2 linked regions of the Macaca fascicularis genome follow. The protein of the gene in region 1 interacts with the protein of each later gene in a pairwise test. Links are inferred from orthologs where the notes say so. Each region holds a gene or a part of one and is shown on either strand. Other genes may lie near its edges. The genes, in order: FLT1 and SHC2.

Evidence for each region.
Region 2: the proteins of FLT1 (region 1) and SHC2 interact in a two-hybrid assay, tested with the Homo sapiens proteins (2 studies listed by BioGRID). The link is inferred for Macaca fascicularis from reciprocal best matches to the Homo sapiens genes FLT1 and SHC2.

The regions. Positions count from the first base shown.
Region 1 is NC_088391.1:8,245,662-8,249,475, reverse strand, and holds part of FLT1 (vascular endothelial growth factor receptor 1), read left to right. Parts: intron 1-745; coding exon 746-868; intron 869-2,775; coding exon 2,776-2,887; intron 2,888-3,814. UniProt on the Homo sapiens protein: Tyrosine-protein kinase that acts as a cell-surface receptor for VEGFA, VEGFB and PGF, and plays an essential role in the development of embryonic vasculature, the regulation of angiogenesis, cell survival, cell migration, macrophage function, chemotaxis, and cancer cell invasion.
Region 2 is NC_088393.1:996,896-1,000,709, reverse strand, and holds part of SHC2 (SHC-transforming protein 2), read left to right. Parts: intron 1-1,434; coding exon 1,435-1,488; intron 1,489-1,685; coding exon 1,686-1,737; intron 1,738-1,826; coding exon 1,827-1,953; intron 1,954-3,004; exon of another isoform or gene 3,005-3,186; coding exon 3,187-3,343; intron 3,344-3,814. UniProt on the Homo sapiens protein: Signaling adapter that couples activated growth factor receptors to signaling pathway in neurons. Involved in the signal transduction pathways of neurotrophin-activated Trk receptors in cortical neurons.

The sequences.
Region 1 (3,814 bases):
CGCCACCTCGCCCGGCTAGTTTTTTTTTTTTTTTTGTATTTTTTAGTAGAGACGGGGTTTCACCGTGTTAGTCAGGATGGTCTCGATCTCCTGACCTTGTGATCCGCCCGTCTCAGCCTCCCAAAGTGCTGGGATTACAGGCTTGAGCCACCGTGCCCGGCTTACCTGTGTTCTTAAATGTAGAACAAACACCACTGCAAGTACCTTAATTTGCCCTGATATGAGGAGTTTTGAGAATGAGGAGTCGTGGATACCGATGGATAGAACTTAATTCTGGGGAAAACTCACAGGTGTCAGACTAGACGAATCTGGTATCTGCTCTCCACAGTGCCCTCTGGCGTATTTTCAAATCTGGCCCAAATCGCAATACATGACTTCATAGGAGAGCAACTGTTAATATAGCCATGTGGGGCCCTCCCACAAAACTGCAGCTGAAGAAAGATCTCATCTTGGCAGCTCAGGATAAAAGGCTGTGGGGCAAGTTTGCCCACTGGTAAATCTGAGATAACCAGCTTCACTGATCAAATAGTAGCCCAGGAGATTCAGAACATGTCTTGACTTTGGGGCTTGGGGACCTGTATTTGTAGAGAGGCTCTTCATGTCTATGGTAGCAGTGTGCACTGAGAGGTGCTCCCTTCACAGCATGGGAAATGGATTACCAAATTAAGATTAATGATGCAGAGGTGTAGGAAATTAGTTGGTTAGGTTAAGAAAATGCATTGATTATGCAGCTGTTTTATTATAGTGCATTCATCGGGACCTGGCAGCGAGAAACATTCTTTTATCTGAGAACAATGTGGTGAAGATCTGTGATTTTGGCCTCGCCCGGGATATTTATAAGAACCCCGATTATGTGAGAAAAGGAGATGTAAGTCAGTTTGATGCTTATTTGACTCATTTATGTCCTATTACTTTTAAACAACAGACTTGGTAAATATTTACACTTCCTCAGCTGTAGTCCCTGAAAACCATCATTGGCTTTCTGTGAAGACAAGCAGTCCAGAGGAGCGGCATCCCAGAGAGCCCTTGTGTAAGGCTCAGAAAGGCCACTGTCTCCTGGTTCTGCTCTCCCCTAATGCCTGGCCTGCCACCTGTCCTTTGGGCAGTGCTTCGTGAGACTGGCTAACCTGAGAAGTGTTTGGTGGGGCCTGGGTGAGACCTTAGCATTACCTTCCTTTGAATCCTGGGGAAATTCCTTGTACCACTGAAAAGAACAGCCTGGACTCTTTCCCTCAAATAAACCCGGGTGATTGATTCAGCAGGTGTATCTGTCTCAGGAAAGGGCGGGGAAGACTGTCAGCAGTAGCTGACTATGAAGGAGACTGTTTACTTCCCATGGCCTTCCATGCCTAGCATCTCTCTGCTGGCTCGCACTGGCTTCTCTTCCCTGCTTGTTTTCAGACATAGTGTTATTTTTCACTTTTGTAGGTGACGTCCCATGTCCTCCCTTCTCCAGCCTATATACCCTGAGGGTTAAGCTTGTGTCTGGGCACCACTGAGTTACAGTAGTGGTTCTCAACTTAATTGAACATACATATCGCCTAGAAGGCGTGTTATGCTACGGTGTGCTGGCCTAACAAGCCTTCCACCCCCCAGAGTTTCTGAGTCAGTGAGTCTTGGGTGGAGCCTGAGAATTTGCGTTTCTAACCAGTTACTACACCAAGGGTGTCCAATCCTTTGGCTTTCCTGGGCCACATTGGAAGAAGAATTATCTTGGGCCACACATAAAATACACTAACAATAGCTGATGGGCTAAAAAAAAAAAAAAAAATTGCAACACATCTCATAATGTTTTAAGAAAGTTTACGAATTTGTGTCAGGCTGCATTCAAAGCTGTCCCAGGCCACATGTGGCCTGCGGGCCAGGAATTGGACATGCTTGTTCTAGAAGGTGCTGACATAGCAGGTCCTAGGACCATACTTTGAGAGCCACTGCACCACAATCTGTTTGTATAGAAACAAAACATACGACTTCGCATTGACCCTTTGTAAAAATAAAAGAAAATAAAGGAAAACAAACTTTCCTTGGGGCCCTGGTCTGGAGAGATGGCACCAACCTTCATGTTAGTCCACCCCTCCTTTCTGTTCATCTGTATCTGAGTCAGCCTCCCTGCCCCTCCCACTTCCTTTCTCCTTGTCTCTCCTTTATCCCATACCTCCCATCAGTCCCCATCATCTAAAGTGGTGAGGCCTAACTCACTGGGATTCCTGCTATCTGAAAAAGAGGAAGATTTGTCTACATGCTTGAAAACCAACTGTATATTCTCTTTCAACACTGACTTCTTTCCTTCTTCTCTTCTTTCTGATGCTTTTGCACACTCTCCCTATTCAGTGACTTTTGAAATCTTGTCTTTTTGCATAGGAATGCTTTTAAAATCCTCCTTCTTGGGAAAAATTTTTAGAAATCACCACCATTTTTCGGGATATCTTCAAATTCAGATCACTTTTCCTTTTCCAAGCCCTGAGTGTCCCTGTGGAGTGCAAGCTTTCTTTGTGGGGGAGGATTTCTCACAGAGCCATGCAGTTAAGGACATGCCGAACACATCAGAGGGGCTTACTGAACATGTACTGCCTTCACTGGACTCAGTATAGCACTCTAGCTCCCTCTTTTAGTGTAACACTGCATACTGTGGTGTTCTCTATGTTAGAAACCAGAACTGCTCTAGGAAATGATTTATGGGCCATATGCTATCTGGGAGGTGACCCCATGGGCACTTGGGTTGAATGTGCTTTGTTTTCATGCCCTTCTGCTCAAGGCCCCTTTGCCCTCTTCCAGACTCGACTTCCTCTGAAATGGATGGCTCCTGAATCTATCTTTGACAAAATCTACAGCACCAAGAGCGACGTGTGGTCTTACGGAGTATTGCTGTGGGAAATCTTCTCCTTAGGTAAATTTGGGAGAAGGAAGAGATCAAACAGCCCAGAAATAAATGTCTGCATCTTCTGCTGAATGTCCTTTGGCTAGATAGCCTTTAGATTAGCTCCTACTGTAACAAAAACTCTTAGGGTGCCATGGGTCCATGTAGACTCTCAGATGAGTAATGGCATATGCTTGTCTGCCCTCTACTGTAAAAGGGCTTTATACGATCATGAGCAAGGTCAGATGGGTATAAAGTCTGAAGTCGGGTTTATCTTTTTCTGTACTTTTTCCGATTCTGTCCTTTTCCAATTCCTCAACACGCACACCTCTAACGCCCTTACCCGTTCCCTCCCCGCATCTCCCACCACCTCAAAATTTCTTCCTAGGAAAGGCCATAATAAGCCCAGCTAACCCAGTGAGGAAAGTGCTGTTAGAAACAGGAGACCTTTCCAGTGCCTCTGATATTAACACATGATACGGCTCTGGACACCGGATTATACAGGATGAGCAGTAAAGAACACTGGTTGTATTTATTCTGCTTGCAAAAACATCCACTATGGGCGGCTAGAAGCCCTGTTCAAAGCACACAGATGCCTGCAGAGCCCACATCTGCTTGCAGACACACAGTGATGATCTGAGGCCTCCAAAACTCAAGTTCTAGCCAAGAGTCTTCTGGGCTTTGCCAAAAATTTGCCTTTCACAGCAAATAAAAGTCACCCAGTAACATCCCTGGTTTCCTGTAATGTGTGAAAATCATTCCCCTGCTTTCGATGACAGGCACCTGTTGCTTCCAGTCTTTGAAAGCAGCTTGGCGGCTGCAGTGGCCCCACAATGACACAGTGCCAGCACTGCACGTCTCCCAGCTGCTTCCTACCAGCAGTAATCACTAGAAAGTGCAGACAAACAAATGCTGAGGTAGATGAGGCTCAAGGGCTAGAACAAGAGTGCATTAGAA
Region 2 (3,814 bases), on another chromosome or scaffold:
TCCTGAGCGTGTGCTGGGCTGTGTGTGCTGGGAGACACTTCCTGGAGGGCTCTGGGGGGTGGTGAGGAGGGGGTCTCAGGGAGGTCTGGCTGAGAGAGGAGGCGTCTCCCTGTCGGAGAAGTTCGCATGGGCCATCGTGAGGGGCTGGGGGCGAGGCAGCGTCCCTGGGCTGGCGTTGGGGCGGCGGGTGGCGGCGAGGGTCAGCTGGGGCTTCAGGGAGGAGGTTAGAGAAGGATGGAGCTGGCCGGGGGTGGCTGAGGGCTGTTTCCACGCAGTTTCCATCTCCGCCCCGACCCTGCGAGGCACGGACCCCTGACCACCATACGGACAGGACGCTGAGGCTCCGAGCGGACCCTCCTGGCTGGGCCGGGGTTGGCCAGGGGAGAGCCTCCAGGGTCCCTGTGGGGGCTGAGGAGTGGATGTTCTGTAGGGAGAACTCAGGACGTGGCTGGTAGTGGGGGTTCACTGGGGCCTAGAGAGATCTGAGTGACGGGAAGCAAGTGAAGCAGAACCATGCAAATGAGCATGCATAGAAGCATGCAAACGAGCATACAAGCATGTAAATGAGCATGCAAATGAGCAACAAACAAGCATGCAGATGAGTGCGCAAATGAGCATGCAAAGAAGCACGCAAATGAGCACACAAGCATGTAAATGAGCATGCAAATGAGCACACAAGCATGCAGATGAGCGTGCAAATGAGCATTAAAGCATGCAAATGAGCACACAAGCATGCAAATGAGCACACAAACAAGCATGCAGATGAGTGTGCAAATGAACATGCAAAGAAGCACGCAAATGAGCACACAAACATGTAAATGAGCATGCAAATGAGCACACAAGCATGCAGATGAGCGTGCAAATGAGCATTAAAGAAGCATGCAAATGAGCACACAAGCATGCAAATGAGCACACAAATGAGCATGCAGATGAACATGCAAATGAGCATGCAAATAAGCACACAAGCATGCAAATGAGCATTCAGATGAGCATGCAAATGCACTCACAGGTGCTCTTGCACATAGACAAGGGAGTCAGGAATGTGGGTCCAGCCCTCCCACGGCTGCTTCGGGTGTGTGGGGGTGTGTGTGTGTGTGCACATGTGTGGGGCATGGGATGTGTGTGCGTGAGCGTCTGGGCAGGTGCCTGTGTGGTGTTGCAGTGGGGGTGGTCTGTCACTCACATTCCCGTGTGACCTGCGGACCCCACACACCCCTTAGGGCCCTAGTCCCGTCCTGCTGGGGCCTCCACATCCCAGCCTCGGTCGTCTAGGCTGACCCAGGACCCGGCTGCAGTGGGTGCCTGTCCAGGGGACGTCTCCATCCCCACATCCCTGCCCCTGCCCCCTTCCTCGCTGTGGCCCTGGTACAGTTGCCGGGCCCCCTGCCCTCGTAGTGGGGCCCCCATGACCACGTGTGCCTCCTGCCCCCACAGGTCATCGCCAACCACCACATGCCGTCCATCTCCTTTGCATCGGGCGGAGACACGGTGAGGCCAGGGATAGGGGTGGACCTGCAGCCCCGCCGCCCCCTGCAGCCGCGAGACCCTCTCGCCCTTCCCCAGAGCCCGCCTCACGTACCCTGTGCCCACATCCACTGCCCCATCTGTCTGCATTGCTGGGGTGGGTGGCTGGGAATCCCGGTGGGGGGCCCAGGCAGGTCCAGCTGGCCCCTCCCTGCCCCCAGGACATGACGGATTACGTGGCCTACGTCGCCAAGGACCCCATCAACCAGAGAGGTGAGGCTCCCCGGGGAGGCTGGTGGGGGTCCCGTGGCCGGGGGGCATGGCCGTGTGGCTTGGAGGCCGCATGACCAATGCCCCCACAGCCTGCCACATCCTGGAGTGCTGTGAAGGCCTGGCCCAGAGCGTCATCAGCACCGTCGGCCAAGCCTTCGAGCTGCGCTTCAAGCAGTACCTGCACAGCCCACCCAAGGTGGCACTGCCCCCAGAAAGGTAACAGACCCGCCTCTCCCATGCCCTGGGGACGCCCCCAGCGACCTGCCCGGGTGTAGAGCCGGCTCCACCTCCTGCAGGCCTCGGCCTCCGTCCTGCCCTTGTCCCTCCCTCCCTGTCCCCTGAGAATGTGGCTCGGCCAGAGAATCCTGTTTCCTCGGCTGTAACACCCGGGTGAACGCATCCCCGCCCCCAGGACTGGGGGAGACTGAGCGAGCTGACTCCCCGGTGTGCCCGAGGCTGTCAGCCCTGCCGCTATAACCAACATCCCTCCTCCAGACGCACGGCCGGCTCAACGGCCTCTGTCTCACCGCAGAAGATGTGTAGAGGGGGGGCGTGTCTGTGTGCTGGTAACGTTATTCATAGACATTGAAGTGTGAATGTCACGTGTCGCAAAATATGATTCTCTGGATGTTTTCTCAAACACTTAACTTTGATGATTTAGAGGCTGAACGCCCATTCTTAGCTCGTGGGACACACAGATCTAGGCAGTGAGCTGGATTTGGCCCTGGGCTGGGGTTTGCCAGCCGGCCTTGGAGAAGGAGGCATTTAAGTCTATTCATCATTAGAAAGTCACGTTCCTCCAGCAGTGGGAGGGCAGGTGCAGGCCCGTGAGCTCCCAGCCCTGCTGGTCACGCGTGCTCACGCTCACCCCTTTGTGCACAGGGACGGCGTGCTCCACGCACATTGCTTGGCGTGCTCCGACGCTGGGACGGGTTCCTCGCCTGCCTCTGGAGCTGCCCCTGCCTTCCGTAGGCTGCCCTGTGATTTCTCCCGGCAGCGATTGTGGGCCAGGCGGCGTGTGCCCCTCTGGCTCTCGGGCCGTGCTTGCTGAGGAGCCCGCCAGCGCCTTTGGGGCCGGAGGGCGGGGGCACTCTGATCCCAGAGTTACCACCCTGACCGGCGATGTCCTGGTTCTGGGTATAAACTTGGCTCCTGCCCTCTGCTGCCGGGCAGCACCGGAGATGGGCAGAAAGGAGTGGAGACCGGGTTTGCCCACGTCCTGCCTTTTGTGCTGCAGCTTGGAAATGTGTGCAACTTTCCATTTCAGAGACGAGGACGTAGTGGGCCTGGTCACTCGCTCTCGAAGCGTTTCCTGGTGGGAACCCTCAGCGACAGGCGGGGGGCTGGGATTCGAACTCAGGCCTTCCTGCTCCCCCAGAAGCTCAAGCTGTGGGGGTTTAGCCCCCTTGGGCCCTGCCTGTGCCACGGCCATTGCTGTCTGTCCCCCAGGCTGGCGGGGCCAGAGGAGTCGGCCTGGGGGGACGAGGAGGAGGCTGTGGAGCACAGTTACTACAACAGCGTCCCGGGGAAGGAGCCGCCGCCGGGCGGGCTGGTGGACTCCCGGCTGGCCCTGACACAGCCCTGCGCCCTCACAGCCCTCGGCCAGGTCAGCCTCTGCCTCGTGGGGACTGGGGCAGGGATGCCCAAGCTGCTGGTCTCCTGGGCCTTCCTCCAGCTCTTCTTTCTGCTCCTGTTCTCCTTGATCCTAGAGGAGGGTCTCTCTCTCACTCAGACTCACTCACTCGTTCCCTCCCTCACAGACTTGTGATCTCACTCACTCACGATCTCACTCACTCACGATCTCACTCATGATCTCACTCATGATCTCTCTTACGATCTCACTCAGACTCACTCACTCGTTCACTCCCTCACAGACTTGTGATCTCACTCACGATCTCACTCACAATCTGTCACGATCTCACGATCTCACGATCTCACTCACCATCTCACTCACGATCTCACGATCTCACTCACTCACGATCTCGCTCACTCATTCACTTATGATCTCAGACTCATTCACGATCTCACTCACAATCTGTCACGATCTCACTCACGATCTCACCCACCATCTCACGAT